Anolis sagrei: one gene and its partners. The protein of the gene in region 1 interacts with the protein of each later gene in a pairwise test. Links are inferred from orthologs where the notes say so. Each region holds a gene or a part of one and is shown in the gene's direction. Other genes may lie near its edges.

The links.
Region 2: the proteins of BEND7 (region 1) and USP20 interact in binary tests that used the Homo sapiens proteins (3 or more experiments, as listed by UniProt). The two-hybrid records come from large-scale screens. The link is inferred for Anolis sagrei from reciprocal best matches to the Homo sapiens genes BEND7 and USP20.
Region 3: the proteins of BEND7 (region 1) and EAF2 interact in binary tests that used the Homo sapiens proteins (3 or more experiments, as listed by UniProt). The two-hybrid records come from large-scale screens. The link is inferred for Anolis sagrei from reciprocal best matches to the Homo sapiens genes BEND7 and EAF2.
Region 4: the proteins of BEND7 (region 1) and EAF1 interact in binary tests that used the Homo sapiens proteins (3 or more experiments, as listed by UniProt). The two-hybrid records come from large-scale screens. The link is inferred for Anolis sagrei from reciprocal best matches to the Homo sapiens genes BEND7 and EAF1.

Annotation. Positions count from the first base shown.
Region 1 is NC_090025.1:92,913,289-92,920,188, reverse strand, and holds the start of BEND7 (BEN domain-containing protein 7), read left to right. Parts: upstream 1-3,894; 5' UTR 3,895-4,313; coding exon 4,314-4,374; intron 4,375-6,900.
Region 2 is NC_090031.1:3,029,493-3,037,000, forward strand, and holds the start of USP20 (ubiquitin carboxyl-terminal hydrolase 20), read left to right. Parts: upstream 1-4,491; 5' UTR 4,492-4,794; intron 4,795-7,261; exon of another isoform or gene 7,262-7,299; intron 7,300-7,508. Other genes in the region: C11H9orf78 (splicing factor C9orf78 homolog), read right to left, coding at 531-590, 2,788-2,876.
Region 3 is NC_090021.1:222,037,377-222,044,749, reverse strand, and holds the start of EAF2 (ELL-associated factor 2), read left to right. Parts: upstream 1-4,371; 5' UTR 4,372-4,476; coding exon 4,477-4,579; intron 4,580-7,373. Other genes in the region: IQCB1 (IQ calmodulin-binding motif-containing protein 1), read right to left, coding at 1,725-1,836, 3,715-3,852. UniProt on the Homo sapiens protein: Acts as a transcriptional transactivator of TCEA1 elongation activity. Acts as a transcriptional transactivator of ELL and ELL2 elongation activities. Potent inducer of apoptosis in prostatic and non-prostatic cell lines.
Region 4 is NC_090026.1:80,126,769-80,134,338, forward strand, and holds the start of EAF1 (ELL-associated factor 1), read left to right. Parts: upstream 1-4,561; 5' UTR 4,562-4,646; coding exon 4,647-4,749; intron 4,750-7,570. Other genes in the region: tRNA N(3)-methylcytidine methyltransferase METTL6, read right to left, coding at 1,282-1,578. UniProt on the Homo sapiens protein: Acts as a transcriptional transactivator of ELL and ELL2 elongation activities.

The DNA of each region.
Region 1 (6,900 bases):
CAATTTCCACTATCTTGGCAGCCACCTCTCCACAAAAGTCAACATTGACACTGAAATTCAACACCGCCTGAGCTCTGCGAGTGCAGCCTTTTTCTGAATGAAGCAGAGAGTGTTCGAGTACCAGGACATCCGTAGGGATACCAAGGTGCTTGTTTATAAAGCTATTGTCCTCCTAACCCTGCTATATGCCTGTGAGATGTGGATTGTCTACAGACATCACATGCAACTCCTGGAACGATTCCATCAGCGGTGTCTCTGGAAAATCCTGCAAATCTCTTGGGAAGACCAGTGGATAATGTCAGCGTGCTGGAAGAAGCAAAGACCACCAGCATTGAAGCGATGGTCCTCCGCCATCAACTCCGCTGGACCAGCCATATTGTCCGGATGCCCGACCACCGTCTCCCAAAGCAGTTGCTCTACTCCGAACTCAAGAACGGAAAATGGAATGTTGGTGGCCGGGAAAAGAGATTTAAAGATGGGTTCAAAGCCAACCTTTAAAACTGTGGCATGGACACCGAGAACTGGGAAGCCCTGGCCCTTGAGCGCTCCAGCTGGAGGTCAGCTGTGACCAGCAGTGCTGTGGAGTTTGAAGAGGCACGAATGGAGGGCAAAAGAGAGAAACGTGCCAAGAGGAAGGCGCATCAAGCCAACCCCGACCGATACTGCCTTCCACCTGGAAGAAGAAGAAGATGCAGATCAAGAATTGGGCTTCAGAGTCACCTCCGGACCCACCGACAGAACACCGACCTTGGAAGACCATCATCCTTGGACTATGAGGGATCATCTAAATAAGTAAGTAAGGCAATGAAGGTACACAACAACAATCGTGACATGGCTGGGTGTGTCATTTCCATCTCTGACTGAGGCAGAAAAATATGCTTGGTCTGCCTTGACGTTGATGTTGAGGAATTTAGGAATAAATTAAGTGTAAATCTACTAGTCAGCTTGTTTAGCCTATCTCCTGACCTATCAAGTTAGGCATGTTTCATGCCCAACTCAATGCTATGAATATTTACTCATAAGAAAGTTATACGGCTTCCCAAGAGGGCCGGCCCTGGTTAGGTTTCTGGGATCGAAATCAGAAAAAGACAGGCAATAAACAAGACACATTGCAGCCAAAAACTCCAAATAAGACTTCTTTATGGCCGATGTTGAACTCATCTTAATCTTTTAAATCTCTCTTTGCAAAATTAAACTCCTTACGGGTTTTAATTGTCTGTAGTTGTGGCAATTTGTGTGCCTTAATTTCATTTTTGAGTAAACAATACAGCTTAAAAGTATGTATATATTTCCCTCTTGTCGCCATATCTAGTCACACAAGAATTTGGAATATTAAAAGCCACTTTTAAACTGAGGTGAGAAAACAGAATATATACAGGGAGGAGGGAGCAAGCTTGTTTTCTGCTTCCTTGGAGACTAGGACACGGAACAATGGCTTCAAACTACAAGAAAGGAGATTCCATCTGAACATGAGGAAGAACTTCCTGACTTTGAGAGCCGTTCAGCAGTGGAACTCTCTGCACCAGAGTGTGGTGGAGGCTCCTTCTTTGGAGGCTTTTAAACAGAGGCTGGATGGCCACCTGTCAGGGGTGCTTTGAATGCAATATTCCTGCTTCTTGGCAGGGGGTTGGACGGGATGGCCCATGAGGTCTCTTCCAACTCTATGATTCTTCAACTGTAAGACGCACCTCGATTTCAGTAACACCACCAGCAACAAAAATATATCTGATACACCCACGTCCTAAGATGCTTCCCATTTGTAGATATGTTTATACAGGCAGTCCCCAAGTTACAAACAAGATAGGTTCTGAAGGCTTGTTCTTAAGTTGAATTTGTTTGTAAGTGAGCACATTTTAAGTGCAACTCCAGCCAAATATAGAGCCCAAACTATAGCCCCCATGACTCCTTAGCATGGTGCCAGAGAAGTCAAAGTGGATTCATTCTACAGCAGAGATGCACCCCAAGGTTTTATTTTTCCATTGCTGAAAGCTTTGGTGTTCTAACACTTTTGTTTTGAAAGAAGGAATTTTGAGCAGGCAGCCACTGTAACGTGTACCTTTTGGGGCCAAATTACAAAGAGTGCACTTTTGTGCTGCTGTGCATTACAATAATTTATTTTGGTTTCAGGGTTTTGGAAATTGAGGTGCGCACTAGATTTGCTGGTGCAAAGTAAATGCAGGATGATTGTAAGCTGTCTAGTTTACAATCATCAATGTTCTGGGAATGATATATATCATTTAGTGTGTTCTATTTTGTCTTTTTCTTGAGATAGAAATATAGATATGGTGGAACCTCTACTTAAGAGCACCCCAACTTAAGAGTGTTTTGAGTTAAGAACCATAAATGGGCCGATGGTTTCACTCTGACATACAAGTAGCATTTTGAGTTAAGAGCTAGTGCCAAATACTGGGTTTTAAGGCTTCAAGGGAACAGCCTCTGTGCCTTGTGCCGCCGTGCTTCCTGCGCTTTTCTGCTTGTGATTGCGATCCCCTTTGCTCTTATCTGATTTGGACACAGAGCTCCCATGACCAACAGAAAATACTAGAAGGGTTTGGTGGGTATTGACCTTGGGTTTTAGAGTTGTAGTTCACCTACATCCAGAGAGCACTGATGCATCTGGACCAAACTTGGCACGAATACTCAATATGCCCAAATGTGGACACTGGTGGGGTTTGGGGAAAATAGACCTTGACATTTGGGAGTTGCAGTTGCTGGGATTTATAGTTCAGCATTCTGAACTCCACCAATGATAGAATTGGGCCAAACTTCCCACACAGAACCCCAATGACCACCAGAAAATACTGTGTCTTATCATTGTCTTTGGCGACCCCTTTGACACCACCTCGCGACCCCCCCAGGGGTCCCGACCCCCAGGTTGAGAAACACTGTCGTAGATGGAAAAAGGCCTGTTTGCTGGCAGCAGCGACCTGAGCCTCCATCGTCAGCTGCGAATCCAAAACGACACCTAGGCTCTTAACGGTAGGCGATGGAGATAGAGAAGGTAGGTAACGGATGGGTCGGACCTATCGGGTGGCCATGCCAGAGAATCTCAGTCTTTGCCGGGTTCACCTTCAGTCTGCTAGCATGTAGCCAGTTCGGCAGAGCCTCCAGGCATAAGGTGAAATTGTCAGGTATTGACGTTACTCCAGGCTCCAAGCGCAACAAGCTAAACATGCCCAACTCTTTAAGCCGCTCCTCATTGGGCTTGTTCTCCAGACCCTTGATCATTTTAGTCACCCTCCTCTAGGCATGTGAACGCACTACTTCGAATCCAAGTCTCCAGGGCAGTAGAAAACAAACCTGCTCCCTCTTCCTTATGGCATCAGTTTTTAACATCAGTAGAAATAGCTAATATTAACATAAATCGCTCGAGGGGATGTCAAGAAGCGGCCTGAGGTAACTCTAACTGAAAGGCCGTTCATGGCGAGAGAGAGGGCTGCTTCCTTCCTGCCTTGCTTGTACCGGGGATTGAGGCGCGCGACGCTGCCCTAGTGGGCAAAAAGGGCGCGAGGAAGCGGCTGAGGGGGCACGAGCCATGGCCTCCGTCAGGGCGCCGCACTCCTTCCCTCCCTCTCTTTCTCTCTCTCTCCCTCAGGTGGATGGGATGGAGGGCACAAAATGGCGCTGCTCCCTCCCCCTCCCAATGGCCCGGGCTCTGAGGCAACCCCACGCCCCCTGTCAGGGACAGACAGGGAGGGAGAGCCAGGCAGCGAGCGGTGTGCCCGCCCTCGCTATTAGCAGCCATGACACTCTGCTCTATCTCCCCCACTCTGTTTCCTCCTCCTCCCCCTTGGGGCCCACAGCCGCCGCTGCGTCCCCGGCCTGGCGTGGGCTGCCCAGCCGGCCTGGAGGTGGCAGTGGCGGCGGCGGCGGCCTTTGGGCCCAGCCTCCCGCCGCGGGGCGTGTGCCTCGGCTCTCCTCCTCCCCAGCAGGTGGCACCGGGCGCCCAGTCACCACCACCGCCGCCTCCTCCTCCTCCTCCCCATTGATTCGCCTCCCTCTTCCTCCCGCCCCCTTCCTCCCTTCCTTCCCTCTCTCTCCTTCAGAGGAGGAGGAGGCGGAGGGGACGGCAGCCCCTCTCCAAAGTTTGGAGCTGGATGCGGGCGACGCGGGGAGGCGAGGCGAGGGAAAGTCCGCCGCCAACTTGTCCCGCTTGGCCCTCCTTCCTCCTTCCTTTCTGCCCATTACAGAGACGGACCTTGGTCTCTCTCTGGCGGCTGGACCCTCCTTCCTCCTCTTTTCTCCTTCCTCCTCCTCGTCGCACTTGATTCCTCCTGCCTTTCTTCTTCCTCCTCCTCCTTCCTGCTCGCACTATGGAGTTTACTGAGAGGAAAAGAAGCAGGAAATCCCAAAGCTTTAAACTGATAAATCAAGGTAAGGAAAAAGGGGAAAAAAGGGGGGGAAGGGAGAAAGAGAGACTGGGAGAGAGGAAGGGAGGTCGTCGTCTGTGTGACATTTCCTTTTTGTCTCTGGGAAATAAAACAAGGAAGACTTCTAGATACAGAGAGTTTGGCAACCAGGATGTGTGACCCTTCTACACCTGAATAAAATCCCACAATATCTGCTTTTAACTGGGATATATGGCAGTGTGGACTCAGATAACCCAGTTCAAAGCAGATTTTGTGGGATTTTCTGCCTTGATATTCTGGGTGGAAGGGCCCTATGTGTCCTTCCTTTCAGTCTCATTAGGATTATTTTAACTATTTAATAATCTTGGAAGCGGTGTTTTTGCGTGTTTTTATTTATTCAGAATCGGCACTTTTTTCTCAGGGAGCCAAGACATCAAATGTGAAAGTTAGGTGGCACTTCCTGGTCAATGCAATTTTCAAGAAGAGGCGAATCAGGAAATCAGCCAGACAATGATATTTATGGCCCTTCCACACAGCCATATAACCCAGAATATCAAGGCAGATAATCCACAATATGTATTTATTTATTTACGACATTTCTATGCCGGCCTTCTCATCCCGAAGGGGACTCAAAGCAGCTTACAAGATATATATCCGTACAATATGTTATATTATTAGCCTAGTACAGTGATGGGCAACCTTTTGAGCTTGGTGTGTTAAAATCTGCCAAAAACCTGACCATAACTTGGGTGGAGTGTCAACTTCGAGAAAAAAAACCCCATAACTTTGCAATATTTATAGTTTAAATAAGAAAAATGTATATTCCATGCTGAGTTATGGAGTGAACAATGCTCAAACATGCAGATGTTAAATTTGTAGAGCCTTTTACAAATTTAAGGATGGAATTCAATTGGCCCTTATAAGGTGTACTTCTCTATATGCGGCCGCATGTGGCTGCGTGTCATGAAAAATAGCCATGCGTGTCAGTGCTGACACACGTGTCATAGGTTCACCATCACGGGCCTAGTACAATATCAGTATTAACTATGGAGCCCCCGGTGGCGCAGTGGGTTAAACCCCTGTGCCGACAGGACTGAAGACCGACAGGTCGCAGGTTCAAATCCGGGGAGAGGCGGATGAGCTCCCTCTATCAGCTCCAGCTCCTCATGCGAGGACATGAGAGAAGCCTCCCACAAGGATGATAAAAACATCAAATCATCCATGCGTCCCCTGGGCAACGTCCTTGCAGACAGCCAATTCTCTCACACCAGAAGCGACTTGCTCCTGACACGACAAAAAAAAGTACTAAATATTACTATATTGTACTATACCATTATATTGTAATATTATTAGTAATATTACATGTAATACCGTATATACTCGAGTATAAGCCGACCCAAATATAAGCCGAGGCACCTAATTTTACCACAAAAAACTGGGAAAACATATTGACTTGAGTATAAGCCAAAGGTGGGAAATACAGCAGCTACTGGTAAATTCCAAAATAAAAATAGATTCCAATACTATCTCATTAACTGAGGCATCAGTAGGTTAAATGTTGGGTTGTTGTAGGTTTTTTCGGGCTATATGGCCATGATCTAGAGCAGGGGATCCACAAACGTTTTACCAGAGGGCCAGGTCATAGTCCCTCAAACTGTTGGAGGGCCGGATTATAATTTGAAAAAAAATATATGAATGAATTCCTATGCAAAGTGCATGTATCTTATTTGTAGTGCAAAAACACTTTAGAACAATACAATAATTAAAATGAAAAACAATTTTAACAAATATAAACTTATTAGTATTTTATTGGGAAGTGTTGGCCTGCTTTTGGCTGATGAGGTAGGGTTGTTGTTGCTTTGTGCTTTCAAGTCGTTTCAGACTTAGGTTGACCCTGAGCGAGGGCCAGGTAAATGACCTTGGAGGGCCACATTCGGCGCCCGGGCCGTAGTTTGAGGACCCCTGTTCTAGAGGCATTCTCTCCTGACGTTTAGCCTGCATCTATGGTTAAATGTTTTTGAATATTTACATAAAACTGTAATTTAAGATAAGACTGTCCGACTCTGATTAAACCATGATACCAACCTTTTTCAGTGTAAATGTTTGCACATCCTTTCAGTAATAAAAGAGTAAAATAATAAATGTAATAATAATAGAGCAAAGTAATAGAAATGTAATAATAACAGTAATAATAGAGTAAGATAATAAATGCAATAATAACAGCAATAATAAAGTAAAATAAAAAATGTAATAATAATAGAGTAAAATAATAATAATAATAGAATTAAATAATAAATAATCTTGACTCGAGTATAAGCCGAATGGGACTTTTTCAGCCTAAAAAAGGGTTGAAAAACTAGGCTTATACTTGAGTATATACTTTATTTTATTTATTTTATTATTTATTTAATTATTTTATTTAGTACATTTCTATACCGCCCCTCTCAGCCTTTCGGCGACTCGAGGCGGTTTACAAGGCAAGAATTCAATGCCACCAAGGACACAATTGCAATATACAATATTAAAACATCAGCAACAATAAAATCAAACA
Region 2 (7,508 bases), on another chromosome or scaffold:
GAAAGTGCAGTGCTTCAAGGTCAGTCAGAGGAGCCAGAAACTGCAACATTAGATAAGGAGTAGGGCAAAGAGCTAAGTGATACTGGAGGTCCTCAGGAGAAACACCTGGAGTTATAGAGATCAACAAAAGTCTTAGTTTACAGATTAGAGCGGAAAATAGGCAGCGCTGGTCAGAGCGTTTATGTGGGAAAGTTTGGGAGAGAATTAATGGGAAAAGAAATGACTTCATGGGTGCCTATTAATTAGCAAGTTGTTTACTTAAGGGACCATAGTGTTCAAGTGAGAAGCTAGGCTTGAGTTCTTTGGTTCTTTTTTCACATCAAGCCTTGGTTTTGGATTGAAGTATCCTGGAAGTGTTCTATGCTCTTGTTTTTGTATTCCTGCTCAAGTTTTACTAAGGATACCTTTTGCTTGTGGACTTATGCTGTAATTATAATTTTTTGGCAATTCCTGGATTGTGTTACCTTGGGATCGACATGAGACATTTGGGAGAAAAGTAGGATCAAAATAAAATAAAATAAAACACCGACCTGACGCCATTTGGTCTCTTCCTCAAATTCTGCACTTCTTTGGCTTCCTCCAGTTTCAACCTGAGAAGAGAGAGAGAAAAACAAAGGCTAGATTCAATCCTTTCTGCCAGAATTTCAAACGGAACGAAGCCTCTCTCTTCTTCAGGTCGATCCAGCCAAGGCTAAACTATGAATTTTAAATTGTATCCTCCCAACCCTGCTATATGCCTGCGAAACGTGGACTGTCTACAGACGTCAAACTCAACTTTTGGAATGATTCCATCAGCGTTGCCTCCGGAAAATCCTGCAAATCTCTTGGGAAGAGAGGCAGGAAAATGTCAGCATGCTGGAAGAAGCAAAGACCACCAGCATTGAAGCAATGGTCCTCTGCCATCAACTCTGCTGGACTGAATGCAACGTTAGTCTGAATGCCCAAAGATCACCATCACCCAAAGAAGTTACTATTCTTTGAACTCAAGAATGGGAAACATAATGCTGGTGGACAGCAAAAGAGATTGAAAAAGGGACTTAAAGCCAACCTTAAAAACTGTGGCAGAGACACAGAAGCCCTGGCCCTTGAGCGCTCTAGCTAGAGGTCAGCTGTGACCAGCAGTGCTGTGGAATTCGAAGAGGCATGAATTGAAGGCGAAAGGGAGAAATGTGCCATGATGAAGGCGCGTCAAGCCAACCCTGACCGGGACCGCCTTCCACCTGGAAACCGATGCTCTCACTGTGGAAGAACATGCGGGCCAAAGGCACTTACAGACCCACTGCCAAGACACTGCACTTGGAGGGCCATCATCCTCGGGTTATGAGGCAGAGGTTGAAAGACGTGTTCATGGCGTCTGCTGCTATGTCCTTTTGAGGGAGGGATTTATTATTATTATATCATATTACTATATGTAATGTATGTATGTATTATGTGTATGTATGTGGATATATGTGTATGTACGTATATGTATAGATAGAATAGAATAAAGCAAAGAATAGAATGTGTAGATAATTATTCTGTATGTATTATGTGTATGTATGTGTACGTGTATATATGTCTATGTATGTGTATATGTGCATATATATGTATGTGTATAGATAGAACAAAATAGAATACATAGATTCTTCTGTATTTATTATGTGTATGTATGTGTACATGTATATATGTCTATGTATGTGTATATGTGCATATATATCTATGTGTATAGATAGAACAAAATAGAATACATAGATTCTTCTGTATTTATTATGTGTATGTATGTGTACATGTATATATGTCTATGTATGTGTATATGTGCATATATATGTATGTGTATAGATAGAAAAAAATAGAATACATAGATTCTTCTGTATTTATTATGTGTATGTATGTATATATATATATGTGTGTGTATAGAAAGAATATAGAACGTATAGATAAGATTATTCTGTATGTATGCAATAAAACAGCAATAGGAAAGATGTCCAGGCCAATTAGATTTTACACGGATGACTAGGACGGTTTTAAATGGTGTATTTTAATATTGAGATAATTTTTTAATGTTTATGTGTGTGAATTTGTGTCCCGGCATGGAATGTTTGTTGTGTATATGCTGTGCTCCGCCCTTAGTCCCTTATATATTCCCCGAAAGGGTGAGAAGGGTGGAATACAAATGTTTTAAATAAATAAATGTATATGTATGCATGTGCATAGATAGAATATATAATAGAATGTGTAGATTATTCTGTATGTATTATGTTTATATGAATGTATATATGTTTATGTGTGTATAGAATGTGTAGATAGATTATTCTGTATGTGTACGTGTATATACGTGTATAGACAAAAAGAATATAGAATATAAAGTGTAGATTATTCTGTGTGCATTGTGTCTATATGTGTATGTATGTATATGTGTTTAGATAGAATATAGAATATGTAGATAGATTATTTGGTATGTATTTTGCGTATGAATGTATATATATCTGTGTGTGTATGAATGTGTATAGATAGAAGATAATATAGAATAGAATGTGTAGATTATTACTCTATTTCTCCTTGCAAAAAAGCGGGGGGGGGGATCATTGTATTTAATGGCATTCGAACTGCCCTGGCGACCCGCGATAGCGCTTGGGAGTTGTAGTTCTAGGGAGGCGACAGTCCCTTTAAAGCAGGGCGGGCCAATCCTTTGCGGAACTACCACTCCCATGAGCCTTCGCGGGCCCAAAATGGCGCCGAATGCTCTTCGCCACTGGAAATGGGCCTGAAGGCCGTTCACAACACCAGAAATGGAGGGGAAATACTGACCGGACTTCCCGGGTGAGGTGCTGGTCTTCCTCATCTTCCTCCTCCTCGGAATCCGCTTTCCTCCGGCGGAAACACTTCCCCGCCGGCATTGCGGAAGACAGCAATGTCCGCGGCCCCCTCCGAAGGCCCCCTCCTCGGCCTCAACCTGAAGGAAAGCGCTTTCTGACGGGCGGGAGCGTCGCGTGCAGGTGACGTCGACAACGTGCGCCGAAGCCAGTTCCGCCCTGGCTGAAGTGAGGGCAAAACAAGGATGCAGCCATTGGGCAAAACAAGCCTTTGGGGTGAATATAGAGAAGCTAGTCAGATTTTGAATACAATGCAATAAGGGTCTAAAATGCCTAAAGAAACACAGAAGCATCTGGATAATTTAAAAACTAATTGTTACTTTGGGATTTCATCTGCATTTGCATACTGTGCATACTTAATTAGATATCTTGCAGGTAGTCCCAAGCCTAGGTGCGAAATTCCAATAGGTTTCCTTACATACACAAAAATGTGAAATATCGATTGTCATGGATTTGGGGATTTCACCTACATTTGCATAAACATATCCTGTATTTGAATAATATGCATACTTAATTAGATATCTTACAGGTGGTCCCAAGCCTAGATGCGAAATTCCAATATGTTTCCTTAAGTGCACAAAAGTGTGAAATTTCGATCGTCATGGATTTGGGGATTTCAGGATTTCTCCCTCTATTTCCCAGTTGTCAATAATCTTGGGTTTTTTTATGTTTAGCTGCAACCCGGCTTTTGCGCTTTCTTCTTTCACCTTGATTAGAAGGCTCCTCAGCTCCTCCTCGCTTTCGGCCATCAGAGTGGTGTCATCTGCATATCTGGGGTTGTTAATGTTTCTTCCAGCCATTTTCACCCCAGCTTTGCATTCATCAAGCCCCGCACATCCTCGCATGATGTGTTCTGCATACACGTTAAAAAGGTTGGGGGAGAGTCTGCAGCCTTGTACGCCTTTCCCAATCTTGAACCTGTCTCCTGTTCCGTGGTCAGTTCTGACTGTTGCTACTTGGTCCTTGGTCAGATTCCTCAGGAGAGAGGGAAGGGGGCTTGGGATGCCCATCCCACCAAGAACTTGCCACCATTTATGATGATCCACACAGTCAAAGGCTTTAGAATAGTCAATGAAGCAGAAGTGGATGTTTTTCTGACACTCCCTGCCTTTCTCCATTCTCCAGCATCCGGATATTGGCAATCTGGTCTCTCGTTCCTCTGCCTTTTCTAAACCCAGCTTGAACATCTGGCAACTCTCGCTCCATGTATTGCTGGAGTCTTCCTTGCAGGATCTTGAGCATTATTATTATTATTATTATTATTATTATTATGTCAATCTTAGACCATGCAGTTCATTTAATAGATAAATAATATTATCCTATTTTCCTACCTTTTTTCTCCCATACAGCCATTGTTGTTGTTGTTGTTGTTGTGGTTGTGTCCAATTGAGAGACCATGAAGTCCAGACTCAGAGAAAAGCAGCCTGAATTTGTTTTTCCCGCCCCTTTTCCATTGGCGCCTTCCCATTGGTCCGTTCAACCTGTGTTTTGGACTTCATTTCCCAGAATTCCTATCCATTGAACAAGCTGTCAAGGCCTTCTGGGAAATGGAGTCCAGAACGCTTGAAGCCGCTTTCTCATTGTGATTCCGTCCATTGGCGTCGCGCCAAGCCGCTTGGGACTTCATTTCCCAGAATTCCCAGCCATTGAAGAAGCCGGCGAGGGTTTCTGGGAGTTGGAGTCCGGAACGTTTTGAGGGCTGAGGTTGGAGCGCCGCCACAGAGGGTTCTTCTCCTCCGCCGGCGTTCTCTTCGCCGCCTCCGGCCTTCTCTTGTCTCGGGCTTCCGAGCGGCCGCCCTTCGCGGGAGGGAAGGGCGGAGGAAGGCTATTGCTGGGCCTCAGGCCTGGGAAGCGAACCGAGGCCTAGCCGGGCGCCTAAGCACCGGCCTCGCGTAGAACGCCGCCCCGGGAAAGAGGCGCCCTCCCGGGAAGGGCCCCTCAGGTATTTTGGGGGGGGGGGGGGTTTCTACACTTATAGATTTATTTGTATTGTCTATTATATTGTGTATATCTATATATATCATTTGTTTTGCTTAATGTATTGCCTGTAGTTCATATATATGTTTGTATGTGTATTCTATACATATATATGTGTGTGTGTATTAACACAAATAAAAGTGAACAGCATATCTATATCTATATATATAAACTGCATGCAATATATTCATTCCAAATATATAAGCTGTGTGTATATATATGTTTGTGTGTGTATTCTATACATATATGTGTGTTTGTGTGTTAACACAAAGTGAACAGCATGTGTGTGTGTATGTGTATGCACACACACATACACACATATAAACTGCATGTAATGTATTCATTCCAAATATATAAGCTGTATATATATATGTGTGTGTGTTTGTTTGTTAACACAATAAAAGTGAACAGCATATATATATATATGTAATATATTCATTCCAAATATATAAGCTGTGTGTATTCTACACATATGTGTGTAAACACAAATAAGAAAACAGCATATATAAATATATATAAACTGCATGCAATATATTCATTCCAAATATATAAGCTCTCTCTCAGTGTGTATTCTATACATACATATCTATATGTGTCTGTGCTATTTATTTTTGTTTGTGCTGACAAATATATATATATATATATTCCAAATATATAAGCTGTATATATGTGTGTATATATATATATAGAGAGAGAGAGAGCACTTATATATTTGGAATTAATATATTATATGTACTTTATATATACATATATATGCTGTTCACTTATTTGTGTTTACACACATATGTATAGAATACACACAGCTTATATATTTGGAATGAATATATTGAATGCTATATATATATATATATATATATATATGAATATATGCTGTTCACGTTTATTTGTGTTAATACACACACATATAATATATTGTATATACATATAATATTTATAATATTATAATGTAATACAATAAAGCTACTAATAATACAATAGTATAATTATATATTTTATATTAAATGTAACATTACTAATAATATTACAATATAATGGTGTAGTACAATATAGGAATATATAATACTGACATTGTACTATGCTGATAATATAATATATTGTATGTATATATATCTTGTAAGCCGCTCTGAGTCCGCTTTGGGGTGAGAAGGGCGGCATATAAATGTCATAAATAAATAAATAAATATTGTTTGTACTAACATATTAGTACAATATAGTAATATATAACTGACATTGTACTATGCTAATAATATAATATATTGTATGTATGTATATCTTGTAAGCCGCTCTGAGTCCGCTTCGGGGTGAGAAGGGCGGCATATAAATGTAATAAATAAATAAATAAATAAATATTGTTTGTACTAACATATTGTATGCAATATATATAGCGCATGCACACATACACACTTATGTTTAACAACTTGCGCCACTGGAGGCTCCATATATATATATATATATATATATTTACGACATTTATATGCCGCCCTTCTCACCCGGAAGGGGACTCAGAGCAGCTTACAAGTTATATATACATACAATATATTTCATTATTACCATAGCAGAATATCAGTATTAAATATTGCTATATTGTACTATACCATTATATTGTAATATTATTAGTAATGTTACATGTAATATAAAATATATAATTATAATATCGTATTATTAGTATTATATTGTATTACATTATAACATTATAAATATTATATATATACACAATATGTTATATTATATTATATTATATTATTAGCCCAGTGCAGGAGACACAATTATTATTAGTATTATTATTACTACTATTATTTATTTATTCATGATATTTATATGCCGCCCTTCTCACCCCAAAGGGGACTCAGAGCGGCTTACAAGATATATATACATACAATATATTTCATTATTACCATAGCACAATATCAGTATTAAATATTGCTATATTGTACTATACCATTATATTGTAATATTATTAGTAATGTTACATGTAATATAAAATATATAATTAAGGGGACTCAGAGCAGCTTACAAGATATATATACATACAATATATTATATTATTAGCATAGTACAATATCAGTATTATATATTACTATATCAATATTATCTATATATATATAGTCGTGTTTATAATATCTAACCATAAATTGAAAGCAGTTTTTATGTGTGTATGTATATATATGTATGTGTGTGTGTTCTCTCTCTCTCTATCTATATATATATACACACACACACAAGACTCTTAATATTGGGAAGATGGTGGCACAAGGAGAAATGGGAAGCCAAGGGCAGAAAGGAGAGTGGCAGGGATGCTTCTGTGAGGAAAAATGATGAATAATGGCATGTTCATTTATTGGGAGGAACAATCAGCTGTTCAGTGTCACGTGACCGCTTGGAGGTTTTATTTCTGGCAGGAGGCAGGAAAATAATCGGAATCTATTCCCTACCTGAAGCTGTGCTGCGGCCTGAGATTTGCATGCTCATAGTAAGATGAAGCTCCTGATATAGAACGGATCCCCTCCCCAATTAAAAAAATATATTTTTCAAACCATGGATGGCTGAATTTGTGCTTGGGACACAGTATGGTGGGGGGGGGGGGGGGAGCATTGATTTGAGGAGTAGAATTGAATTAGCTGGGAGAGGAAATACCTTGGATGTGAATTAGGTTTGGCTTAAGAGTGTATTTAGTCATCA
Region 3 (7,373 bases), on another chromosome or scaffold:
ATCATGGTGGAAGCTTATGGGAGTTGCAATCCAATAATTATTTGCATTTACAAGTTGCCCAGCCTTGACCTACAGGTTAGATTTGATGGGCAAGGTAAGACAGGCAAAGCAATCAGGATAATGGCACAGACAAGACTTTAGCAGCACTGGAAGCACACCTAAGTAAAGATTAAGATGGTTCAGAAAAAGCTTTGAACAAGCATGAATTATAGCCACAAAACAAGACAGATACTGAAATGGGGTTTTGGTAATCAGAGGGTAAGACTTCCTTCTTCTGCACAGCTAGAATTAGCAATCTTTGCCCACAAAGACTTCCTTTACTGGAAAGTAGTCCTCTAGCAATTCAGAGTTCCTCTAACTATAATGCCTTTGTGGTTTTTCCTCAGTCTCTCTTGAGAATGAAATGTTTTTAAATAGGAATAATATTTGCCATGGTAACATAAAGAGAACAGAAGCCTTGTCCTAGTTTTTTTTTTCCTGTCAGGAGCGACTTGAGAAACTGAAAATCGCTTCTGGTGTGAGAGAATTGGCCGTCTGTAAAGATGTTGCCCAGGGGACACCTGGATGTTTTAATGTTTTACCATCCTTGTGGGAGACTTCTCTCGTGTCCCCACAGGTGGAGCTGGAGCTGACACAGGGACCTCAACCTGCTCTCTGGATTCGAACCGCTGACTTGTCGGTCAGCAGTCATGCTGACACAAAGGTTTAACCCATTGCGCCACCAGGGGCTCCTCTTGTCCTAGGTGAAATCTAGCAAACATATACATGCCTCATTGTTGCTCCATCTGGTCCCTAATTCCTGCACCTATTTTCCTTGAAAATACTTATAGGTTCTGTGAACAAACCCACATAACTCCCAATCAGGGTTGACTATTCTTATTAAATGCATTGTATTAAAATTAATGTACCTGTAGTATATGGCCTGATCACCGGCAATACAGACAAGGACCAAATATGATAGACTTAGTTATTTGCAAATGATTTTTGTTTAAGACCTTGGTCCTTGATGACTATATCATTCTTACAGCTACTCTATTAGGAAGGGACATAGGAAGAACTAACTTACTCCATGCTAATAAATTCTCTTGCTTTTCTAACCCCAAATCAAGTTTTATACTCATACTCATAAAATTTGGAGCAAAACATCAAAGAAGCACAGGTGTTATTTCAAAAACCGTCATCAGATAGAGCACTGTGATAATGAATTTTGAATTTATCAAATGTATTGTTGTTTAAGCTTTGTGTTTTTTTATTTTTATGTATTTTGAGTCAGTACTGTATTATATCTGAACGGCATTAAATTGTTGCCTAGCGTTAGATGCTCAATGAGGGGGAAAGGCGGGAAATAAAACAAAGTAAATAAATAAATGAAATAAATTTCAGGTTCATTTGTTATATAAGAGGCTTTGTACATATTTGTCTCATGTACATATTTGTCTTGAAGTTAAAACAGGAATGGAAAATGTGTAGTGTGGGTTTCATTTTCAGTTCCCAGACCTTGCTTCCCAGAAAAGCAATTTCATTTTGAAAGAAGATGCATACCTTGTTATAAAAGAAAAAGCCTAATGTTGAGATGACTACACCTTGATGTAAATGGGGAAAATGCCCCCCCCCCACCCCCCGCATAAGATGTGACAGTATTACCAAGGGACCTATGGCACTAGAGATTTTAGGATAGATTAGTAGAATATTGTCAATTCCTAAGCAAATAAATAAATACTTACCTTTTATCTTTAGCAGTAGCCCAGGGACATCCTGACCTGAGCTTTCAGTGACCTGGGCAGCCAGTGACAATATTCTGGGATCCACAGGTAATGGCTTCATTTCATAGGACAGCTGTATTTTAATAAGAGAAAGGAGGACAAAACCAGCAAGATATTTGCCTTCGGTTGGAGAAGAGTGGATTAGATGATGTGTCTAATAAAATTAACACCAGATATGTTCTGAAGGCAAATGTCATTAAGAATCTCACAAATTCTGTTTTCTTAAAGATACTTTCATCTTTTTACCTTTATAATATTGGTGAGCCGGGGGAGTTGTCCCACTCGCAGCTACAGTTGAAAATATACTTTTATGGCAGATTCATTCCCTAGCATTTTCAGTTTAATGGGTTCGCATAAAAGATGCAGAAGTTTAAGATCAGCTGTCAGTCAGAACAAAGAGACCTAGATTTGACTGTCAGTAAATCATTTCCAGATAATTTCATATACTGTGATTCACCAGGTATCATTTATAGAATTATCATCAGATAATTGCATGCCTCCAAAACTGAAACAAATAGCTTTTTATAACTACAAGAATATTTTGTCATGTCAATTTATTATTTTAATGTTATAACCATAACTATTTCAACACATGAGAGCAACCCTTCCTTCCCCACCAGTTCGACTCTGCAAATAGATATGCCAAATGTAAGTATGAACTCCTTGTATGCTAAACCACCTGCCCTATTTGGGCTTTCTTATGCCCCTTCAACACAGCTCAATAAAATCCCACATTATTTGCTTTGAACTGGGATATATGGCAGTGTGGACTCAGATAACACAGTTCAAAACAGATATTGTGGGGTTTTCAGTCTTGATATTCTGGGTTATATGGCTGTGTGGAAGGGCCACCAAATTAACAGTTATGGGGAAAGCGGGGTTGGACTACAAGGAGTGTTGAGGGCAGAAGTACTAAAGATGTTTCTCAGAGCCCTTCCACACAGTCACATAACCCAGGATATCATGGCAAAAAATCCCACAGCATTGGCTTTGAACTGAGTTATCTGAGTCCACACTGCCATTTATCCCACTTCAAAGCAAATAATGTGGGATTTTATTCAACTGTTTGGAAGGGGCCTCAGTTAACAAAGCCTCTGTTGAAGATGCCCCTTATTGGCAGTCTTTTTAATTCGCATTCACCTCGCTTTTTTCTCATTATCCTGTCTAGCTGGAAAGGTTGTTTAGCTGCATCAGCACTGGAAGGCTCTTAATGATATACTGGAGAATGACACACATTTTCAGTGTCAGGTTACAACAAAATATCAGAAATACATATAATAAAGTGATAGCGGCGAAAGTATGATAGCTGGGACACAATGCCAAGACAGCACAACGAGTGAGAGACACAGCTGTGACAGAGTCGTGGCAAAATAGTTTGCCAGAAAGGGGGGGGGGGGGGAGGTCAACAAATAGCCAAGCATACTACTTAAGGCTATCCGGATATCGTATGCAAGCACGTTCAAATATGTAACGTCTTCGCTTCTCTAACTGACCCTCGTCACGCAACCAGAATTGGGTCCCAGCTATCATACTTTTGCCGTGATAGCTTGGAAAAAGCTGGATTCTATACTCCATGGGATTATTATAACTGTTTGTGCCTACCTACAGCAGGCAAGGGAAACAGCAGGCCCCAGAATCCCATACTGAGCATTTGAAAACAATGCAACAGAGACAACGGGGAAGCAGATAAGATAAGTTAGGTTAACACCAACATGCTAGCGCAAAAATAGATATGGAAATTTGATAAGGAGTAGAGATTGGTAAAAGAAAAAGCCATCTCTGGATGCATTTTGCTCATAATAAGGGTGGCCTGGAGGCCTCTCCTTCACAAGGGGTGCATCTACACTGTAGAATTAATGCAGTTTGATCCAATTGAACTGCTATGGCGCAATACTATGGAATCCTGGGAGTTTTCGTTTGACAAGGTCTTTCAAGAGCGCTGGGGCCTCACCAGGCTGCAATTCGCGGGATTCATTCCACAGCATTGAGCCGCTGCACCTAAAGTGGTGTCAAACTGCATTAACCTTGAAGGAGCTGGGAGCTGGGGGTGGTAACGGCCGACAGGGAGCTCTGGCGTAGGCTGGTCCATGAGGTCACGAAGAGTCGGAGACGACTGAACGAATGAACAACAACAATAGATGCAGAACACTAATAAAGACCGTTGAAGCCGCACTCCTTTAGAAGACCTGGAGAACAACGTTTCTTCTCAAGTTATCTTCAGGTATCAAGGCATTCTTGATCCACTTCTCAACCGCTTCCGCTCCCGACCGGAAACACTAGTGAGGTTTCCCTACCAACGGCCAGTTACCATGGTGAGGGCACAAGGAGCCCACCAATCAGCAGCGCCGCCATCCTCGGAGCGAGACGCCACTGCCCGTCGCCCCGCCCTAAACCACCCTAATTTGCATAAACAGCATTCTCTCGCGCTCCGGGAGTTTCAACCTTTCTTCATTCAGCGACAGTGGCAGTGTCGCTAACCAATCAAAAAAGCCACAGTTCTCTTGCGTCACGCTTGTCCCCAGAACGGGGCGGGACGTATCCAGGTGGGCGTGGTGTCGGCGCAGTCGCCCAATGAAAGGAAGGCAGGAGGGGAAGGGGGCGTGGCCTTTGTGAGCTGTGTGGCTTGGCTGAGGCGGGGCGGGCAGTTGTGGCAGCGCTAGGCAGCGCATCTCTTCGAGAGTGACCAGAGCGCAGGACTGCGTGTGGCGGGGGGATGAACGGGGCGGCCCCGCCGCTCTTCGACTGTAAGGAGCGCATCCTTCGGCTGGGCCAGAGCTTCGAGAGGCAGCCGCGCTGTGCCTTCCACACCGTCCGCTGTGAGTGAGGCTGGACCGGCGTTCAAGCTGCCAGGAGGGTCTGGGACTTCATTTCCCAGAAGCCTTTGCCACCTTTTCCGACGGCCAGGAATTCTGGGATCTGAAGTCCAGAAGGGCTGGAATGTTCAGAATTCTTTGATCACAGTGATGCTGGACTTCAACTCCCAGAAGCCTTAGCTACCTTGGTCAATGATGAGGGATTCTGGGAGTTGAAGTCCAAAGCACCTGGCTGGCCAGAGCTTGGGAAACAGTGTAGATTTCCCTGGGTTGTCACCATACTCCAAATCCTAGGGTTCTATAGGATGGAACATTAGCAGTCGAAGTGGTGTTAAACTGCTATAATTCTGCAATCTGGATTGAGTGAGGGTGAGAAGCAGAAGGTAAAAGAAAGGACTGTCGAGCAAAGCGCTGGATCTTCGGATTTCAATGGGGAGGAGAGTTCAGAAGATTTTGGGAGAGGAGGAACCTTGAGCTATTTAACATAATCAGTATGCAAAGGGATCTTGTGTCACCTTTGAGACTGATTGGGAGAAATAAATTGTAAGCATAAACTTTTGTAGTCACCTGTTGCATGGAGTAGAGTGACTTTTATGAGCAGACAATGTGAAGAGCTGGGTTGCTGTGAGTTTTCTGGGCTGTATTGTCATGTTCCAGAAGCAGTCTCTCCTGGCGTTTCACCCACATCAATGGCAGGCATCCTCTGAGGTTGTGAGGTCTGCTTGAAACTAGGCAAGTGGGGTTTATATATCTGTGGAATGCCCAGGGTGTCTGTCTGAGGCAAGTGTGAAAGCTGCAGTTGATCAGCATTGAATAGCCTTGCAGCTTCAAAGCTTGGCTGCTTCCTGCCTGGGGGAATCCTTTGTTCGGAGATGATTAGCTGGCCCTGATAGTTTCTTGTGTGAAGAACCATAGAAATGCAAAACTTGTGGCATGTTGATGAAGTGACAAGTTCGGTTTTTATAACAGCCATTATTCGGAGATGTTAGCTGGGGACACTGGTGCCAAAAATAAAGCGTGAGACTTATGACTAGATCCAAGTGTGAATCCCAACTATACATTGGTATCTTTTTCAAAGCAGGGAAGTGGAGCCTCATCATTTGGAAGTTTTTAAGCAGAAGTTAGATGGCCATCTGTCAGGGGTGCTTGGATTGTGTGTTCTTGCATGGCAGGATGGGGTTGAATTGGATGGCCCATGTGCTCTCTTCCAATTCTATGATTCTATAAGAAAAGGGGTATATACATAATACACAAAAGAGAAAAAGCAGCATATACATAATAATAATAATAATAATAATAATAATAATCAACATCTTCATAATTGGTGGCACTTGCATAAATATTAACCAAATTCACATTCATTAAAAGGATATTGCTGAACTTATAGTTGGGTCTAGAGCAGGCATGGGCAAACTTGGGCCCTCTGGGTGTTTTGGACTTCAACTCCCACAATTCCTGACAGCCTACCGGCCAAAGTTTACCTATGACTACTCTAGAGTAACGGATGCTTGAGATAGGACGCACTTTGCATATTACTGGAATCCTGAGATCTGTTCAAAATCTTGCTTGCCCTGAGCTTTCTTCATTTTGAGAGTACCATTCATGACCCTGTTACAGTAGTCATTTTGTTCCTACTCCTTTTAAATAAGTGGAAGTCAAAAAATAATTGGTGGTCTGTTGAAAGTTTCTTTGAAATTTGTCAATTTATCATCTTTATTAATTCATCTAATACTGGTCTTTAAATGTGAAGAATATTGGCAATTTGTCCTTAAATGAGATATTTTGGGTACAAGGGGAACTATAGACTCTATCTGTGTTTAGTTAATTTATTTGAATGAGCAAAAATTGCTCTTTTTTGCAAAAGCAGTGAGAGTATGAGGAAGGAGTAAATTGATTTTGAAAAACTCCCATATTTGTAAGGAAAGTATGGAAAGTACAGTGGCATATCAGGTTAAACCGCTGGGCTGCTGAACTTGCTGGCAATTTGAATCTGGGGAGCTGGGTGAGCTCCCACTGTTAGCCCCAGCTTCTGCCAACCTAGCAATTCGAAAACATGCAAATGTAAGTAGAGCAATAGGTACCGCTTCGGCGGGAAGGTAACGGTGCTCCATGCAGTCATGCTGGCCACATGACCTTGGAGGTGTCTACAGACAACACCAGCCCTTCGGCTTAGAAATGGAAGTGAGCACCACCCCCCAGAGTCGGACACGACTAGACTTAATGTAAGGGGAAATCTTTATCTTTCCCTTAAGTATGGAGGAACTAGCCCCTGTGTTGATGTTAATCTCATTGAGAATATCACTTTCATCTGGTGGTTTCCATTATTTGCAATAATCTACAGTGCTTCTAAGAATCAAACACAAGGGAAAAGAGAACTTGGCAAACTTAAATGGGGAACTACCATTCTGTGGTTTTGGGAAAGGAACATTAGAGCCGTCGCAAACTAGGTTCCTGCGGGAGAAAACCTTGCTAGCAAGTCCCTGACGTCATGAGCCTGCGCCTCTCTCCCCGCCCCTTTCTCCGCCCCTTTCTCTTTGCCAGCGTGGTTTTTCCTTTGCTAGGGCAGCATTGCCCGCATTTTCTCTCAGTTGAATTCAGCCAACTGAGAGAAAATGCGGGCAATGCTGCCCTAGCAAAGGAAAAACCACGCTGGCAAAGAGAAAGGGGCGGAGAAAGGGGCGGGGCGAGAGGCAGAGTCTCGTGACGTCAGGGACATGCTAGCAAGGTTTTCTCCCGCAGGAACAGAGTTTGCGACGGGCCTTAGGATGCCCGGAAATTGCCAGATGTTAGCCAACAA
Region 4 (7,570 bases), on another chromosome or scaffold:
CACCTGAAGCATGACTGTTGTCCTCCTAATAGAAAAATAATTTCTAAAACTGATTTATTCTACAACAGCTTTGGAACTACACTAGTTCCAACACACCTTTATACAGATAATGTAAAGATATGGTATCACAAACTTATCTAACTTTGAACCAAGGTATGTTGTACAACATTGCTGCAACAAAATATACGACCCATTGGCAATCTTGTGCCTTTAAGATGTAGTTAGAGTACTAGAACAATTTGTGCCTTGACTGCTGCTTGGGGATGATGGGAGGTGTAGTCGAAGGTGGTTAGGTTGGGAAAAAGGAAGAGAGACTGCTCAAACTCCTGGACTACTGTGCTCTTCCAAAATGCTAAATCAAGCTTTACAACATGCAGCTTTGATCAGACGTGACAGCTCCTTTATGACAGTAGGACTTCTGAATAAGAAGCTATTGACTGACAGACCTAAAATATATATGTGAAGGGTTGGTACACCGCATCTCATCACAGAAACTACAACTGCTGCATCATGGGATAAATGAAGCACATCTCTTTTGCCTGAAGCCCATGACATTCACATAAAATTGTACATCTCAGGATAAAACTACAACTGCCTACAGTCTTCCAGCAAAACAAAATACTTCTATAGTAGCTCTAACTTGAGATGCTTCCATGGAAATTATGGATCACTCAGGCTGTTGTTGGACTATAACTCCCAGCATTCCTTAACCCTGGAAACTGTGGTCTAAAAATACTTGGAAGTTTCTAGTGCTGAAAAAGGAGATTTTGCAACATTTCCACTTGTTTTTCCTCCATAATAGATCTTTTTCTAATAAGACAAAAAGGTAGCAGAAGCAACCAAAAATCATAGGATAGTTACATATAGAAGATGATGCATTTGGGCCCTCCAGGAAAGACGATCCAGAACTTGGAATGCTACTTTTGAAAAGTAATTTGCTAGTGCTGTTGGATTTTCTGTTTCTGTTTGTGTGTGTGTGTTTTTAAATAACTTGTGCCTAATTGTGATTCATTACTGGTTAGTTACATTTTATTTACTTTTAAAAATGTACTTTGTAATACTAATAAAAATAAAAAAAAATGACCATAAATCTCCTGAAATCAGTGTTTTGGATCAAAATAACACAGGTTATTCCAAAAAGCAACACTGTTACAGTTACTTTTAAGGTTACTTTTCCAAGTAAAGACACTGCCAACACCATGCTCTATAGGTAATGTAGTTATTTGGCACAAGTTACTTCCAAATTGGGCAGCAAAGCCATCTCTGGAAGATGAAACTCACTTCACGGCAGGATTTTAGTTCTTCAAACTCTCTTGTTGTCCAGTGTCTATCCTTGAAAAAATTTGTGCTGTTCCTTTTGTAAAACAAGTCCCAATTCCTTTGTGCTTCTTTCTCAAGCTTCTGTTGCTTGAAATCAGATACTACGACTGGATCTTTGGCCAGCCTTTCAGCTTCTTCGGGGCTAAGCGTTCTCATCTTATGTCCTCTTCTATGGAAACCTCCATTTTCGAGATCTGATATTACCCCATCAAGTTCAGCTGCAGATGACTCACTCTGGAGAAGCCTCAATTCGTTCATTTCGATTAAAGGAGGAAGCGCAGATTTGTAGTCACTGCATTCCTTAATCGCATACTTCTAGGAAAGAACTAGATTCAAGACGACAACAAGGGAAAGGTTACCATTTTATATCTTCCACTTGAGAACACAGCAAAATGATAACAGGATCTTCATGGTGATTCATTTCCCTATAATATCACTTTTTATAAATATAAATACATTTTTATGCAGAAGAAAAAAGCAAAAGAAGAAACAATGTCAACAGCAGATGTAAGCCTCCCACAATAGATTGGGATACAGTAACCTTCCCTAACCTGTTGTCTTCTAATATGTCAGATCTCAACCACAAAACTGTGCAATTCGGGGGAGAAAAATAAATTTAGGAAAACTGCTATACAGGCAGTCCCTAAGTTACGAACAAGATGGGTTCAGTCGGTTTTTTCTGAAGTTGAATGTACATGCATGTTGCAACAGGTAAATTTTAAAGTGTAAGTCCGGATTATTTATATATATGTGTGTGTGTGTGTGTGTGTATGTGTACACACACACACACGCTGGTGGGTCAAAATGTTTTGTCTCCTGTGTCATAAAATGTTATAAATGAACATATAACAGCAGAAGTTGCAACCAATCATAGCCTGAACTATCCTCTACTCAAAACTACAGTTCAACATAGTCACCATCAATTTGCACATATTTGTGGCATCATTTAACCCAGGCATCAAAACCATTTCAGAAAAATTCAGGGTTTTGCTTCATGACCCATGATTTTAAAGCTGTTTTAACATCATTCAACCCATTGAATCTGAAACAACGTAGGTTGTCTTTCACAGGAGCTCTGGCTTCTCTGTGTAGTCTGACACTGAATGACGTTAAAAAAGCTTTAAAATCATGGGTCACAAAGCAAAACCCTGAATTTTTCCAAAATGGTTTTGAAGCTCAAATGAAGCTTTCTCACCAATCCCTGTTTCCACAACAAGCCACATTTTCCAGAGGGACAGAAAATGAGGTGAAATCTTCTGAACAGAGGCCCCGTTCACACAGCTGAATAAAACCCCACATTTTCTGTGAAGTGGAATATATAGCAGTGTGGACTCAGATAGCCCAGTTCAAAGCAGATATTGTGGGATTTTCTGCCTTGATATTCTGGGCCATATGGCTGTGTGGAAGGGCCCAGAGACACAGGATGCAAAACAAACACCACTGGGGTGTCAACCCTTCCCTATGCGATCCAAAGCTTTTATATATGAAATATATATATGCAGGCAGTCCCCAAGTTGTGAGCAAGATAGGTTCTGTAGGTTTGTTCTTAAGTTGGATTTGTACTTTTTATCAAGTGTTACTCCAGCCATATATTTGTGTGTGTGTGTGTGTGTGGCTAGAGTTAGACCAGGCATAAGCATACTTCGGCCCTCCAGGTGTTTTGAACTTCCAACTCCCACAATTCCCAACATGTTAGGAATTGTGGAAGTTGAAGTCCAAAACACCCGGAGGGCCGAAGTTTGCCCATACCCGAGTTAGACTTTAAAAAGTATCTGTTCTGACTCAGGGCCCTTCCACACAGCCCTATATCCCAGAATATCAAGGCAGAAAATTCCACATTATCTGATTGTAGATTCAGGCCCCTTCCATACAGCTGAATAAAACCGCACATTATCTGCTTTGAACTGGAATATATGGCCGTGTGGATTCAGATTCCCCAGTCCAAAGCAGATATTGAGGGATTTTCTGCCTTCATATTCTGGGATATAGGGCTGTGTGGAAAGGTCCAATATCTGCTTTGAGCTGGGTTATCTGAGTCCACACTGTCATATAGTCCTTTGCAGAAGCATAGGAGAAGCTCGGCCTGTCATTAAACATTGAGAAAAACAAAGTGCTCTTCCAGCAGTTGACAGTCAGCCCCTCTCCAATGCCAGAAATACAGCTTAATAGTGTAACCTTGGCAGCTACCTCTCCACCAAAGTCAACATTGACACTAAAATACAACATCGCCTGAGCTCTGCAAGTGCAGCTTTTTTCCAAATGAAACACAGAGTGTTTGAGGACCAGGACATCCATAGGGATACCAAGGTGCTTGTTTATAAAGCTATAAAACCGCCGACGTTGTCCAGATGCCCGACCACCGTCTCCCAAAGTAGTTGCTCTACTCCGAACTCAAGAACGGAAAACAAAATGTTGGTGGGCAGGAAAAGAGATTTAAAGATGGGCTCAAAGCCAACCTTAAAAACTCTGGCATAGACACTGAGAACTGGAAAGCCCTGGCCCTTGAGCACTCCAGCTGGAGGTCAGATGTGACCAGCAGTGTTGTAGAATTTGAAGAGGTATGAATAGAGGGCAAAAGAGAGAAACGTGCCAAGAGAAAGGCGCATCATGCCAACCCATAGGGCTCCACAGTCACCTACGGACCTACCGCCAGGACACCGATCTTGGAAGACAATCCTACTAGGACAATGAGGGATCACCTAAGAAACTAACATAGTCCAGTTCAAAGCAGATAATGTGGGATTTTATTTAACTGTGTGGAAGGGGCCCTTGTTCAAAGAGGATATTGTGGGATTTTCTGCCTTGATATTCTGGGTTATAGGGCTGTGTGGAAGGGCCCTGAGTCCACACTCAGATATTGTGTGATTTTCTGCCTTGATATCCTGGGATATATTAATGTGTAGAAGGGGTCTTTGAAACAAATTCAACTTAAGAGCAAACCTACAAATCCCATCTTGTTGGTAGCTTGGAAACTGCCTGTAATTCTACAGCGGTGTCTCTTCTTTTGCCTTCCTAAAAGGCCTCAAGAGCTACAAAGCCGCCCCCACCAACACGCACCGCTCTCCTGAGGCGCTCTGTCCATGCTCAGAGGCGCCCTTGACTCATCCAGGCTCATCCTCCCTCTTCTTCTGTGGGATCTTCTTTCTCTCTCTTTCTGCGAGGCCTAAGCAGCCTGCTCGCCTTCCTGCCTCCTTGCCAAGCGGGGAACCCTTTCGCGGTGACACCAAGCCCGGAAGAGAAAGCGAAGGGAAGGGAAGGAGGGAAGGGAGGAAGAGAGGGAAGGAGGCAAACGGCGACCGGCATCGTCGTTGCGGCCTGCGGAGGCCATGAACGGCTCGGCGAACCCGCTGCTGGACAAGGAGGAGCACCCGCTGCAGCTGGGAGAGAGCTTCGAGCGGCACCCCAAGGCCTCCTTCCACACCATCCGCTGTGAGTGGGACCCGGTTTACTAGGCCGCGATGCGCACAGGCCTGTTTCCTTCGGCCTTTGATTTGGGACACAGGCGTTGGAGTGGCTCAGTGTTTGGGACTTCAAGCCCCTTTGGTTTGGTGGCATCTCCATTTGAGGGTTTGTTTTAAAGGGGGGGGGGATGTATAGAGTGTTCCCCAAAGTCACAATCAATAGAGGAAATGTAACTTTTGTTTACAAGGTACTCACTACCAACTCTTCTCTACCCTTCCTCGAAGCCTTCTCTGTCATTCATATCTATCTATCTATATCTAATATAAATAAAAATGTAATGTTCGTTTGTGGGATTAACAGAACTCAAAAACCAGTGGGCGAATTGACACCAAATTTGGACAACATACACCTAACAATCCAATGTATGTCCTTCACTCAATTTTTTTTGATTTTGTGATCTGGGAGTTGTAGTTCTTGGGATTTATAGTTCACCTACAATCAAAGAGCATTCTGAACTCCACCAATGATGGAATTGAACCAAACGTGGCATGCAGGACTCTCATGACCAACAGAAAACACTAGAAGGGTTTGGTGGGCACTGACCTTGAGTTTGGGAGTTGTAGTTCACCTACATTCAGAGACCACTGTGGACTCAAACAATGATGGATCTGGACCAAACTTGGCACAAATATTCTATATCTCCAAATATGAACACATTTGGGAGTTGTAGTTACTGGGATTTATAGTTCACCTACAATCGAGCATTCTGAACCCCACCAACAACAGAACTAGGGTAAACTTCCCACACAGAACCCCCATGACCAACAGAAAATACTATATATATAAACCCCTTTTCCTAGTTCCAACAGACCTCACTACCTCTGAGGATGCTTGCCATAGATGCAGGCGAAACGTCAGGAGAAAATGCCTTTAGAACATGGCCATATATTCCGAAAAAACCTACAACAACCCAGAAAATACTGTGGTTTTTGGTGACCCTTCTGACACCACCCTGGTGACACCCCCCCCCCCCCCGGTCTTGACTTCCCAGGTTGAGAAATGCTGCCTTAAGGCCATCCAGTCCAACTCCCTTCACCAGGGCAAGAAAACATAATCAAAGCCCTCCTGACAAAGAGCCATCCAGCCATTCACACACACATATATGTATAATGACAGATGCAGTATCAAAGATTTGAAAGGGACCCCTAAAGAAGGACAATGATATGTTGCATGTCCAGAGTAGGCAAACCAGACAATCTCCACATCAACACTGACAAAGAAACAACAAGAAATACTTTTAACCCACAAGCATAAAGGCATTACATATATTAGAAACCAACATTGTCTCATTACTTTATTTTCCAGATCACCAGACAGGGCCACAGCAACGCGTGGCAGGGGACCACTAGTACAATATATAATCTAAGGCAGGCCTGGGAAAACTTTGGCCCTCCAGGTGTTTGGGACTTCAACTCCCACAATTCCTAACAGTTGTTAGGCCCTCCAGGGAGTTGAAGTCCCAAACACCTGGAAGGCCAAAGTTTGCCCAGGTTTGATCTAAGGCCCCTTCCACACAGCTGTATATAATCCACATTGAACTGGATTATATGGCAGTGTGGACTCAGGGCCCTTCCAGACAGGCCCTGTATCCCAGGATCTGATCCCAGGGTTTCTGTTTTAAACTTGATTATATGAATACTCACTGCCCGATAATCTGGGATAATTCTCTACAAATTGCACTTTTCATTGCTATCTCATCCAGAGGTTTATCATTTTATGCCATACATTTGGCCCACCCATTGTGTTGGATTTTCTATTATGTTATATTGTATTATTTATTTTATTTGATTGGTTAATTTTTACTGTGATGTTATTTTGTTGTTTATATTTTATGTTGTTGTAGTGTTTTGCTGAGCTTGGCCTCATATAATCCGCTTTGAGTCCCCTTTGGGGTGATGGTGGTGAGATAGAAATAAAGTTTATTGTTGTTGTTGTTGTTAACAGAAAACCTGGGATCAGATCTTGGGATATAGGGCCTGTCTAGAAGGGCCCTCAGATAACCCAGTTCAAAGCAGATATTTTGGATTATCTGCCTTGATTTTCTGGGTTATATGGCTGTGATATAATACAATTTTCTCAATTTCTCCCTCTATGTATATAGAGACATTGGGGACACTACCTGGCTTGTAAAGAGTCTGCCTTGAGTTCCTATACTGTACTATTTATAATGGTTTTGTATTGTATTTGTATTTTTTATATTTTATTGCTGTGTTTTGTTGTATATTGATGTATTGCATTGTTGGGCTTGGCCTCATGTAAGCCGCCCCGAGTCCCCTTGGGGGAATGGTGGCAGGGTATAAATATTTTTAAAAAAATATATATCATTATTATTATTAATCTGTAATAAACAGAAAACCTGGGATCAGATCCAGGGATATAGTCCTACATTGCCATGTAAAAGACAGATTATCTGCTTTGAACTTGATTAGATGGCAGTGTAGGCTCATCTAATCCAGTTCAAAGCAGATAATGTGGATTATCTGCTTTGATAAGCTGGATTATATGGCAGTGTAGAAGGGGGCATAGTCTCTTCCATCATAAAATGGAGGACAGGGGGAATGTAGCAGCACCTTTGACTTTGGATTTTTTCTATCAAACAATTTCAAGCCATGAGTAGTTAGACCTATGGATGCAGTTGTGCAGAGGGCTGGCTGGTAACAGCCTTTTATTTTAGCATGAGCTTTCATGGACAGCAACCCACTTCTTTTTTTCGTTAAAGATGTTAACCTTTAAGTAAAGATATATAGAAAAAAGATAGAATCATAGAGTTGGAAGAGACCTCATGGGT